Linked DNA regions of Saccharomyces cerevisiae S288C. The protein of the gene in region 1 purifies or fractionates together with the protein of each later gene. This does not show direct contact. Each region holds a gene or a part of one and is shown on either strand. Other genes may lie near its edges.

The links.
Region 2: the proteins of RPS13 (region 1) and RIO2 purify together in Saccharomyces cerevisiae (affinity purification with mass spectrometry; 6 studies listed by BioGRID). This does not show direct contact.
Region 3: the proteins of RPS13 (region 1) and ENP1 purify together in Saccharomyces cerevisiae (affinity purification with mass spectrometry; 7 studies listed by BioGRID, with this or other methods). This does not show direct contact.

The regions. Positions count from the first base shown.
Region 1 is NC_001136.10:576,758-582,458, reverse strand, and holds RPS13 (40S ribosomal protein uS15 RPS13), read right to left. Parts: upstream 3,002-5,701; coding exon 2,981-3,001; intron 2,442-2,980; coding exon 2,007-2,441; downstream 1-2,006. Other genes in the region: RTR2 (putative protein-serine/threonine phosphatase), read left to right, coding at 1-551; RRG1 (Rrg1p), read right to left, coding at 675-1,772; AIM7 (Aim7p), read right to left, coding at 3,347-3,796; serine C-palmitoyltransferase LCB2, read right to left, coding at 4,300-5,701. UniProt on the Saccharomyces cerevisiae protein: Component of the ribosome, a large ribonucleoprotein complex responsible for the synthesis of proteins in the cell.
Region 2 is NC_001146.8:253,672-257,130, forward strand, and holds RIO2 (protein kinase RIO2), read left to right. Parts: upstream 1-1,681; coding exon 1,682-2,959; downstream 2,960-3,459. Other genes in the region: Hsp70 family ATPase SSB2, read left to right, coding at 1-229; YNL208W (uncharacterized protein), read left to right, coding at 747-1,346; RTT106 (Rtt106p), read right to left, coding at 3,117-3,459. UniProt on the Saccharomyces cerevisiae protein: Required for the final endonucleolytic cleavage of 20S pre-rRNA at site D in the cytoplasm, converting it into the mature 18S rRNA. Involved in normal export of the pre-40S particles from the nucleus to the cytoplasm.
Region 3 is NC_001134.8:712,504-716,352, reverse strand, and holds ENP1 (snoRNA-binding rRNA-processing protein ENP1), read left to right. Parts: upstream 1-1,897; coding exon 1,898-3,349; downstream 3,350-3,849. Other genes in the region: HIS7 (imidazoleglycerol-phosphate synthase), read left to right, coding at 1-1,546; RRT2 (diphthamide synthase), read right to left, coding at 3,599-3,849. UniProt on the Saccharomyces cerevisiae protein: Required for normal export of the pre-40S particles from the nucleus to the cytoplasm.

The sequences.
Region 1 (5,701 bases):
TAGGATCACACCAATTACATGAGCAATTATCTATAGTGGAAGCCCGAATGATTGAATCTGCCATAGTTTCAATGCTCACAGAATCATTTTGCGAAAATGAGCAGACATTAAAATACTTAGCACGGCTACTTTCACCGATGTCTTATATGGATGTTATTAATGCAAGAAGGGGAAAGAAAATATGTGGGTACCCGCTATGCTATAAGAGTGCGGCAGAAAATTCATCTGATGGCTTCTTTATCCACTCAATGTATTGTAATAATTATCACAGTAAATGTTCGTTGTATTTAATGAGACAGTTATCACAAACGCCTCTGCATGAAAGGCGAGGCGTGCATTTAACTAGTTACATTAATCTAGAGTTTGATGATATGTACTCGGTAAGCCTTTTAGAAGAATTAGTTGGAAGTGAGGTACCTATAGATACCGTCAAATCGCTGATAACGAGTTTCAAGGATCTTGAGTTTGATGATACCTACAAGAATGAGCCTTTACCATTGGATGTGTACTTTGGACAGTTGACTACTGATGAGGAAACCTGTATAGAATAGGAAGTATAATTAAATCGTCTTCATCAGGATCCTTATCGCGGTCATACGAGTGACTATTTACATAGAAATGGAAGTAACCAGTAAATTTTCTATTAAACTTTCTGATTCACGCAACTTTTGCACTTAAAAACCGTATTTCGCCAAAACACTTGGCAAGTCCCTCCCTTCTATAAAGAGTGTCACATATGGTAATGTTTCTTTGCTCATTTTTCTGAATAGTGTCAACCGTTTGGCGTACATTTCTTTTGACTTTTTATCAAAATATGCTAGTTGGCCACCGTTCTTTAAAAGCTTTTCCTTATATTTGTTAAAGTACTCCACTCTTTGAAAACTTTTGGAATGTAATTCGAACATTATTTCTCTCACGGGATCTACCCATTCTTTAACTTTCTGATATTGACTCGAAGGATTACATTTAGTAGACTTTGGGATATTTGCAGCGTATTCCAAGTATTTCGGTAAGTTTACTTTAATAATCTTTTTCGACTCTAGATATTCCTCCCAAATGGCCTCATGTAATGCCCAAGCAGCATTAATTTCGCAAAAATTGAGATTATCGATATTTTTCTGAGAATCCTTCCTTTCTTTTCGTATCAATATTCCCAGCTTTTTCGATTGTTGTCTGCCCTTGTTAATTGGTGACCGAACAAACCATATTTGATTCCTTCCTTCTTTTGTATATGACAGCCCAGCAGAAGGTGGGCCATTTTTCAATTTTTGCTGAATATGAAATAGTTTCAGGCACGCATGTTCGTTCAATGCTAATGGTAATAGGAGTTTGTGCTGATACGTTTTTGGTATGTATGCAGGTAAAAGGCCCAAATCTTGTTTTCGCTTAATGTAAGCACTTAGAACATGAAATCTTCTTACTTCTTCTGGGTCGTTGGTCTTTACATCCCCTAATGAAGTCAAAGAGTTGAGGATTTTCGTTGTTTTCAGTTGTTTTTTCATCTTTTTTAATGGCTTCATTAAGTTTTTGATTTCTTGTAATTTACCTTCCAAAAGGCAATTGTTCAACAAACTGAATTCATTGAGTAAAGTATAAACACTCCAACTTGACTTGTCATGCTTGTGTTTGAACAATTGTATTGAAAGTGTTTTTTTTATTTCATATTGAAACGCATATGAGTGGCAACACTTTGGAATGTTTCTGAGAACGGTCCGATATAAGCTCAATACGTAAGACTTGTGAGAAGGAATCTTTCCAAAATTTTGAGCCATATTTTCTACTTGTTCATTACAAAAGTGTTAATCTGTTGCTTTCTCAGGCAGACTTGGTAACTGAAAACCTTAGGAAAGGCTGGGAGCAGCTTTGAAGTTAGAAACGGACACAAAAATTAGCAATAGTGAAATAAAATAAAATGCAACTTATCGTTTATAAAGAGATGTTTAAAAAATCAATTTTAGTTATACAAAATATACATATAAAATAATGAAATAAATGATTTAAACACTCTAGTTGACCAAAGCGGAGGCAGTGGCGGATTCGTACTTCCAGTTTGGTGGTAAGACAGCAACAGTTCTGTAGTATCTGGCCAATCTGTGAATTCTAGATTCGATCAAAATCAATCTGAACTTAGCGTCTTTGTCCTTTCTGTTTCTTTCCAAGTGCTTTCTAACAGAGACAGCCTTCTTAATCAAGTAGTACAAATCTTCTGGGATTTCTGGAGCCAAACCATTGGACTTCAAGATTCTCATGATCTTGTTACCAGTGATAACACGAGCTTGGGTAACACCGTGAGCATCTCTCAACAAGACACCAATTTGAGATGGAGTCAAACCCTTTCTCGCGTACTTGACAATTTGTTCAATGACAGATTCAGAGGACAACTTGAACCAAGCTGGAGCATTTCTAGAGTATGGAATAGCAGAAGAAGAAATACCTTTACCCTGTTTAAAGTAATATTTAGTGGAATTGGATATTCCAAAAAATTTATCGAATGTTAGTAACATGAAGATTCATATGGCTTGAAGAAAAGTGTATCATGACATATTTCCTCGTTCAGACCATACAATTCCATTAAAGTATAACTATTCCGGGTGATTCTTCAATCTTGGTTCTCCTCCGATAGGTTAACGTGTTATGTTATGAGCTTTGTGAAAACTAATTCATAAAGGCGGCTAGCCATCAGTAATTTTCCGGCGTAAATTATACTGAGAAACGGCAGATAGTATAACCTGTTAAACTAATGCAACATATTTGTAAAAGAAATTGGAATCACCCAGCTAATGTACAGCGAGTAGAAACTACTCTCCAGTATAAACTATACCTGTGTACACACCGGAACTTGTAATAGAATTGTGATCCGACAGAGACAAATTATATTAGAAATCCACTTTTGAATTCCACATTAGAGTGTCATCTGATTTAGCGAACTATTCAATGCAACTTTTGCATTAATATCTCGCTATGGTGTTAATAAACATACGGCACTGTGCATACGACCCATTTTGACTGATTGTTGTTGATTGATTTAGTGGTTAACCGTTTAGAATAAATATTAATGAGAAAGAAATTGTTAATTCAATCACGACTGTGATATATGTCGGCCAACATAAATTTCCATCTGTACAGAAGTGGAAATCTCATTCGTATCAAAATTTCACCGCTACTTTGCGCGCTCAGAAAAAACGACAAAGAAAAAATTATAACGTAAAATTTTTTTAAAAATGTTTGGGTCTACTTTATGGTTTATGGGTGGTAAAAGGCTTATATTATTGCTATGAAGATAAAAAAATGTTTAAAGTACACTACATGATTATAGGAGGTAGTTTAGTGTTTAAGATAGACTATACTAACAATTTTCTAATTGCTCCCTCAATTCTTCAACGTCTGAGTCATCCTCCAAACCTGAAGAAACCTCTATCAATTTAAAAGTACCGCACTCCTCTCTGATCATTTCTAATGCGCCGGCATAAAGCATCTTCCATTCCTGTGAAACGACCGTCATTGGCTTCCAATATACTAGAACTAAGGGAGTCTGTTTGAACCCATCTTTTGTTGTTGTTGGATATGCAGTTAGTACAAATCTAGGTGAGTTATCAGGTAGGATCTCGGCTAATTCGCTCAAATCTTCAATTTCGTCTAGCTCTTCTTGTTCGTCTTCATCGACAATTATCTCATAGGACGGTTTTGGTTCGATCTTTATTGATAAAGCTTTTATGGAGTCGGTTCTTGCTGTAGATGTACGAAACTTCTTGATTTTATTTCTAGTTTCAGTTCCAATTTTGTAGAGGTTCGACATGATTGTTTGCTCGATGCTTTGAGGACGCAATTGCAAAACTAAATAATGGGTTTAAATCAATGGTAGCTGATAAATTCAAAATCAGTGAACAAAAGAATTGATAATCCATTTAAAGTTTAACAGACCCTGATCCTAATTCGCTTTTGTCTAACAAAATCACCTAGGGGGTTGGCGTTGACATGTTCTTCTTTTGTCCGCGAAAAAAAAAAACTCATTCTTGTATAATGTAATTGCGAATATGATACGATAAAGTTGTATATATAACATTAAATTATTTAAAAGGTGAAACAAAAGGTATTTCATTTCATATCCTGGAACATATTGCGTGCACTTTTAACTTCTTCTTTCTTTTAAATGTTTTTTTTTTCGTAACTTTTTTTACTTTTTTTGCAATTTTTGTTTGACTTTTGGCAGTTTTAAGTTTATGTCAAAAAGACGTTGCGTGTTTCCAACGTCTTCCAGAAATTTTGTAATTTTTCACCTAACTAGCAATTAGGTAAAATTCAATTAACAAAATACTTGTCGTCCTTACAATCTTCAGGTGTTCTCCTGATAACTTCCTCGATGTCCCATCTTTGACGTTTACCGTCGTAACTGGATTTGCCGGAATTTGATTTCAAATTCAATTTGTCACCAACTTCACTAACATGACGCAGTAAATAATCGATATCTTCCTTTGTTAAAGATGCAGACATACAGAATCTTACTCTTGATTCGATCAGCGGAGTAGCAGGATAAGCAACAACAACAACAGCAATCCGTCTTTGTAACATCATTCTCGAAAATGCGGGCATCTTTGAGGGACAATACAGTAGTAAGGGAATAACTGGTGAGTCAGCCACACCGTAGACAATAAATCCTAACCTTTGCAAAGCTAAACGTAGATAACGGGAATTAAAGGCTATACGTTGCAATCTTTCAGTACCTTGTCCGGGACATATTTCACCACTAATGGTTTGTAATGAGGAAATAGTTTGAGCTAAAACAGGAGCCGGCATTGACTCACTATAACTCACAGTGGTTAAATCCAACCTCAGTCTATCGATAATCCATTGATCAGCAGCAATGTAACCACCAGCAGCACCAAACGACTTAGTGAAAGTACCCATTAGAATGTCGACGTCCTTGGGATCAACGCCAAATATTTCACAAACACCGCGACCAGTTGGGCCCATAGCGCCTATAGAATGGGCTTCATCGATAAACAAGTAACATTTATATTTCTTCTTCAATTCAACCAATTTTGGCAAGTTACACAAAGTACCTTCCATGGAAAACAACCCTTCTGCGCAAATTAAAATTTTCTTCCATGGACGATTTGTTTTTGGTTGACCAAGTACTATCTGTTCTCTGATAAGCTTTTCTAAACCCACCATATCACCATGCTTGAAAGTTCGCACAGCAGCACCAGAAAGCCTAACACCTGTTCTAATAGAGGTGTGGTTCAATTCGTCAGAGATAACTAAACACTTTTTATCGAGGAAAGCGTTGAACAAGTTTGCATTTGTACCATAACCCATCGAAAAAACGAGGGCATCCTCCTTACCGATAAATCTAGCAACTAATTTCTCTGCTTTAATGTGCAAATCTGTGGTACCGATTTGAGCTCTTGGACCACCAGATTGAATAGAATATTTATCGACAGATTCCAAGGCGGCATCGGTACATTGACCCTTACTTTGTGCGAAGCCTAAATAGTTATATGATGATAAGTTCATGCATGGATACACTGCGCCTGAGTAGGTAAAATACTCATTTATATTATGAGAAATTCTATCAATACAACGAATAAATCTACCAGGAACACCAGTAGTTGGTCTAGAAAAGCAATCATCAATTCTCATTTTAATTCTCCTGACATAAAAACTCTCGAAATTTGAAAACCAAGGTGCTAACCCATCATGC
Region 2 (3,459 bases), on another chromosome or scaffold:
GAAGCACGAAGCTAGACAAAGACTAGAATCCTACGTCGCTTCCATCGAACAAACCGTCACTGACCCAGTCTTGTCTTCTAAATTGAAGAGAGGTTCCAAGTCCAAGATCGAAGCTGCTTTGTCCGATGCTTTGGCTGCTTTGCAAATCGAAGACCCATCCGCTGATGAGTTGAGAAAGGCAGAAGTTGGTTTGAAGAGAGTTGTCACCAAGGCCATGTCTTCTCGTTAAGATGTCATTCTGGTTAAGGTTATACACATATATATATTTTTCATTTTTAATGTCTTAGCTTTTGTATCTTAGATGAAGTTTTAGTTCTGTATATCACGATCAAGATATCATACAATCATAAATTCAATTATTCTTCTGTTTCCCCTCTTGAGGCATCAAACGAGTGTTTGACTGATACACACCAACATACTAAGGCAACTTTTCTGGCTGCCCAAAGCTGTGGCACGTATGAAACTGCTTTTCGGCTGCATAAAACAACCATGTGGAGTTTTTACTGTATTCGCATTTCGCCCCGCTAGCATTCTTCGTTCATGCTAAAAATGAGGCGTGGGCTAATATTCAGTATTAATAATTCCGGCACCCGCACAGCCCATACCGGAAAAGGGGCTGGCTGTTGGGCTTGGCAAAAAACTCAATCTGAGCAGTCATTTATAAAGAAAGACTTTAATTTGTCTTGCTAAACACTTGTAAGCCTTCCAAATATAGATCACTTAAGACAATCTAACAAGTGTCCAAAATGTCTGCAAACGAATTCTACTCAAGTGGCCAACAAGGTCAATATAACCAGCAAAACAACCAAGAAAGAACTGGTGCTCCAAACAACGGTCAATATGGTGCCGACAATGGTAACCCCAACGGTGAACGTGGTTTATTTTCCACTATTGTAGGTGGCAGTGCCGGTGCGTACGCTGGATCTAAGGTGTCGAACAACCATTCTAAGTTGAGTGGTGTGCTGGGCGCCATAGGTGGTGCATTCCTTGCCAACAAGATATCTGATGAGCGTAAAGAGCATAAGCAACAAGAGCAATACGGCAACTCAAACTTCGGAGGTGCTCCTCAAGGTGGACACAACAACCATCACCGTCAGGACAATAACAACAATAACGGTGGATTTGGCGGTCCAGGCGGCCCTGGCGGTCAAGGTTTCGGAAGACAAGGCCCACAAGGATTTGGAGGTCCTGGTCCACAAGAGTTTGGTGGTCCAGGTGGCCAAGGATTCGGTGGTCCAAATCCTCAAGAATTCGGCGGGCCAGGTGGCCAAGGATTCGGTGGTCCAAACCCTCAGGAATTCGGGGGCCAAGGTCGTCAAGGATTCAATGGCGGTTCACGTTGGTGAATGGCTCAACAGAGTGAGTGTCATTTTTAGCTAACTACATACTTGATTTATCTATATATACATATATACTACTCGTTTTATTATGATGTCGTAACAAATGACTTATTCGAGAAAAGAAAACGTGAAAAAATAAGCTAAAAATTTGGCGATGAGGTTCTCTGTTGAAGTTGGAACCCGCAATTCATGATTTTGGTAAGGTCAAGGATCATCAGTAATTAGCTTAAAGTAAGAACTACTCAATAATATTAAACCATTTATCCTTGGCTCGTCTTTCTATTGACCAATCAATACTATTTTAAACATCTCTTCTACCACATACTTTCAATCAGACTAGAATGAAATTGGATACTTCTCATATGAGATATTTGACAACTGATGATTTTCGTGTCCTCCAGGCCGTTGAACAAGGTTCTAGAAGTCACGAAGTCGTTCCAACTCCCTTGATTCATCAAATCTCGGGGATGAGATCGCAGTCCGGAACAAACCGAGCCATTAGTGATTTGGCCAAGCTTAGCCTTATTTCCAAAATGAGAAATGTCAAATATGATGGTTACAGGCTAACTTATAACGGTATTGATTATTTGGCTTTGAAAACCATGTTAAACAGAGACACTGTCTATTCTGTCGGTAACACTATTGGTGTTGGTAAGGAATCTGACATCTATAAAGTAAGTGACAAAAATGGAAACCCTAGAGTAATGAAAATTCACAGATTAGGTAGAACCTCTTTTCATTCCGTCAGAAATAATAGAGATTATCTGAAGAAATCCAACCAGGGGGCAAACTGGATGCATCTTTCACGTTTGGCAGCCAATAAAGAATATCAGTTTATGTCCATGCTTTATTCTAAGGGTTTCAAGGTCCCTGAGCCATTCGATAACTCGCGTCATATAGTCGTTATGGAGCTTATCGAGGGTTACCCAATGAGGAGATTAAGAAAACATAAGAATATACCCAAGCTTTATAGTGATCTGATGTGTTTCATCGTTGATCTAGCAAATAGCGGACTTATCCATTGTGATTTTAATGAGTTTAATATTATGATAAAGGACAAACTAGAGGATGAAAACGATTGTGGGTTCGTAGTTATTGATTTTCCACAATGTATATCTATTCAACACCAAGACGCCGACTATTATTTCCAAAGGGATGTTGACTGTATTCGTCGTTTCTTCAAAAAGAAACTGAAGTACGAACCAAAACCTGATTCATCAATGCTCGACACTGAAGGTTTCGGCGATGGTTATAAATATGCGTATCCAGATTTCAAAAGGGACGTTAAAAGAACCGACAATTTGGATGAATTGGTGCAGGCTTCCGGATTTAGCAAAAAGCATCCAGGAGATAGGGGCCTGGAAACTGCCGTTGAAAGCATGAGAAATGCTGTTTATAATTCAGATGACGATATGTCTAATGACGAGGCCGAAGAAGAAAATGGGGAGGGCGATTATTCAGAGGAGGATGAATACTATGACTCCGAACTTGATAATGAAAGTTCTGAAGATGACAGTGAAGATGCACAAGAAGAGGAGAACGAACGTATTATAGAGGCGCTTTCCAGTGGTGTTGAAAATCTAAAAATGGATAAACTAGGAAACTATATACTAGAGTAGTTTAGTTTAGACGACTGCATAAATGGCCGCAAATAATCAAGTTGTTATCCATAATTTTTTTGATTTTTAAGCCATGTTATTCTTCAGGATAAAAAAAGTGGTATTTATGAACTCTTACATATGCGTATTCATGCTATATTATAATATCGAATCTAAGTCAATCGTATTCTACTCCGGATCCATCCTCATCATCTTCATCGTCATCATTATCAATTTCTATCGGAATATCTTCGAGTTCTAACGGCTCCTTAAACTCTTTGTATTGGAGTTCCTGTTCTGGTTGACCATTTATAGAAGCAAAACTATTATCTCTATTCAAAGCGCTTTGGCCCTTTTTGTCTTCCTCTTCATCGTCTTCTTCATCATCTTCTTCTGCTTCCTCTCCGTCTTCTGCACCGTCTGAGGATTCTTGGCCACTCCCATCGGAAAGGTCGCTCTCAGCTTCGAAATTTTGGTCATTTTCTTCATCATCGTCTGAAAACACACCTGCCTTTTTCTCG
Region 3 (3,849 bases), on another chromosome or scaffold:
CATATCAGGCACGTCAAGATTGATTTTGCCTGGTGTCGGAAATTATGGCCATTTCGTCGACAATTTATTTAATAGAGGATTCGAAAAGCCGATAAGAGAATACATTGAATCTGGAAAACCAATAATGGGAATTTGCGTCGGGCTACAAGCGCTCTTTGCCGGTTCCGTGGAAAGCCCTAAGAGTACGGGTCTGAACTACATTGATTTTAAGTTGTCCAGGTTCGATGATTCAGAAAAGCCAGTACCAGAAATAGGTTGGAATTCTTGCATTCCCTCGGAAAACCTATTCTTTGGATTGGATCCATACAAGAGGTACTATTTCGTCCATTCTTTTGCTGCCATTCTGAATTCAGAAAAGAAAAAAAACCTAGAAAATGACGGTTGGAAAATTGCAAAAGCTAAGTACGGTTCAGAGGAATTTATTGCGGCAGTCAACAAGAATAATATATTCGCTACTCAGTTCCATCCTGAAAAATCAGGTAAAGCTGGTTTGAACGTCATTGAGAATTTTTTGAAGCAACAAAGTCCTCCGATTCCAAACTATAGTGCGGAAGAGAAGGAACTCTTAATGAATGACTATTCAAATTATGGTCTAACACGCAGAATTATTGCTTGTCTTGATGTACGTACTAATGACCAAGGTGATTTGGTGGTTACTAAAGGTGATCAATACGATGTACGTGAAAAAAGTGATGGTAAAGGTGTTAGAAACCTTGGTAAGCCTGTTCAGTTGGCACAGAAATATTACCAACAGGGTGCGGATGAAGTAACATTTTTGAATATAACTTCTTTTAGAGATTGTCCTTTGAAGGATACTCCGATGCTAGAGGTTCTGAAACAAGCCGCAAAGACAGTCTTTGTTCCATTGACAGTCGGTGGGGGGATCAAGGATATTGTCGATGTTGATGGAACCAAAATACCTGCTTTAGAAGTTGCAAGTCTATACTTCAGATCTGGTGCTGATAAAGTATCGATCGGTACGGATGCAGTCTATGCAGCCGAAAAATACTACGAGTTGGGTAACAGAGGAGATGGAACGTCACCAATAGAGACAATCTCGAAAGCATACGGTGCTCAGGCAGTTGTTATTTCTGTCGACCCTAAGAGAGTATATGTAAATTCACAAGCAGATACGAAGAACAAAGTCTTCGAGACAGAATATCCGGGCCCCAATGGAGAGAAATACTGCTGGTACCAATGTACAATCAAAGGTGGAAGAGAATCTAGAGACCTTGGTGTGTGGGAATTAACAAGGGCATGTGAAGCTCTAGGTGCTGGGGAGATTTTATTGAACTGCATAGACAAGGATGGCTCTAATTCTGGTTATGATCTGGAATTGATAGAACATGTTAAAGATGCGGTCAAGATTCCCGTCATTGCATCCAGTGGCGCCGGTGTACCCGAACATTTCGAAGAGGCCTTCCTAAAGACCCGCGCAGATGCTTGCTTGGGTGCAGGTATGTTCCACAGAGGTGAATTCACTGTTAACGATGTAAAGGAGTATTTACTAGAGCACGGATTAAAGGTTAGAATGGATGAAGAGTAATGTGGTTGGATATGTATACTTTATAATCTTGACTCAGTCTATATACGCAATAATGATAGATGTTAAATCAGACATTTCACAACACAAGAGGATGTACAGCTTGGAGAAATTGTACCAACTTATATGGTTGTATTATTGGTGGTGTCAGTAGGGGAAGAAATAGAACATATTTTTCCACTTTTTCATTTTTTTTTTTTAGCGAGGCATCGGAAATGAAAATTTTTAAAAATCGATGAGCTCCCACTTCTTCAACATTGACGAAAGGAAATATGCACTAAGTTGTTTTAAATCCAAGATTTGTCTCGTTTTAAGACTTACAGATAAAACAATATATTAGAAAGATTAACTATAATGGCCAGAGCATCCTCTACTAAAGCCAGAAAACAGAGGCATGATCCACTTTTAAAGGATTTAGATGCAGCTCAAGGTACCTTGAAAAAAATCAATAAAAAGAAGCTAGCGCAGAACGATGCTGCAAATCACGATGCTGCAAATGAGGAAGATGGATACATAGACTCCAAAGCATCAAGAAAAATTTTGCAGTTGGCCAAGGAACAACAGGATGAAATTGAAGGTGAGGAACTTGCTGAATCAGAAAGAAACAAGCAATTTGAAGCCAGATTCACCACCATGAGCTATGATGATGAAGACGAAGACGAAGACGAAGACGAAGAAGCTTTTGGAGAAGACATCTCCGATTTTGAACCCGAAGGTGATTATAAAGAAGAGGAAGAGATAGTTGAAATCGATGAAGAAGACGCAGCGATGTTTGAGCAATATTTCAAGAAATCAGATGATTTTAACTCTTTAAGTGGTAGCTATAATCTTGCAGACAAGATTATGGCCTCTATCCGAGAAAAGGAAAGTCAAGTTGAAGATATGCAAGATGATGAACCACTTGCTAATGAACAGAATACCTCAAGAGGCAATATTTCATCCGGTTTGAAGAGTGGAGAGGGTGTTGCACTTCCAGAGAAGGTCATCAAAGCATATACTACGGTAGGTAGTATTTTAAAAACTTGGACGCACGGTAAGTTGCCAAAGTTGTTCAAGGTTATCCCATCCTTAAGAAATTGGCAAGATGTCATTTATGTGACCAACCCGGAAGAATGGTCACCACACGTTGTTTACGAAGCAACGAAATTATTTGTATCCAACCTAACTGCTAAAGAATCTCAAAAATTTATTAACCTAATTTTACTTGAACGTTTCCGTGACAATATCGAGACCAGTGAAGACCACTCTTTAAACTATCATATATACCGTGCGGTGAAAAAATCGCTTTATAAACCAAGTGCCTTCTTCAAAGGTTTCCTATTCCCATTGGTTGAAACAGGGTGTAATGTACGTGAAGCGACAATTGCAGGAAGTGTGCTTGCTAAAGTCTCTGTTCCGGCTTTACATTCTTCAGCTGCCTTGAGTTATCTTTTAAGGCTACCTTTCTCTCCACCTACAACTGTTTTTATCAAAATATTGCTCGATAAAAAATATGCTTTACCGTACCAGACGGTGGACGACTGCGTGTATTACTTTATGAGGTTTAGAATTTTGGATGACGGTAGTAATGGGGAAGATGCTACAAGAGTACTCCCAGTGATATGGCACAAGGCTTTCTTAACATTTGCACAACGTTACAAGAACGATATTACCCAGGATCAGAGAGATTTCTTGTTGGAAACTGTTCGTCAAAGAGGCCATAAAGATATCGGTCCTGAGATTAGAAGAGAACTATTGGCAGGAGCCAGCAGGGAGTTTGTTGATCCACAGGAAGCTAATGATGATTTAATGATTGATGTCAATTGATGCTGTAATATCAATTTTTCATCAATTTTATATCGCTCGGTCTTTCCCCCTTTCAACAAAGCTTCTGAATCATGTATAATAAGTAGAAAATATAGAGTAAAAGATTATTGTTCAGGCAAGTTCCTTCCTATCAATTCTTTATGCATAATCTATCGAAATCATCAAAATATGGCCTATATATTAGCCTATATATTAGCCTATATATTAGCCTATATATTAGTCCATATATTGCAGACTGAATTTTTTTTTCTAAACTATCCATGTTTGCAAGGAATTATCATAAAATGAGCATGTTGCGATCAAAGAATTTGACCAGTCGCCACCGTAACACATCGAATCATGGCCCTTCTTCAGATAATGTTGAATTTGAAAATACTCATCGGAATTATCATTCATGGTCACCACCTTGGCACCATTGTACATGCAACAAACTAAAAGCCGATCGGAGCCGTTGTGGTGAGATTGTTCCTGATCAATGGGGGATTCAACAAATCTCCAAA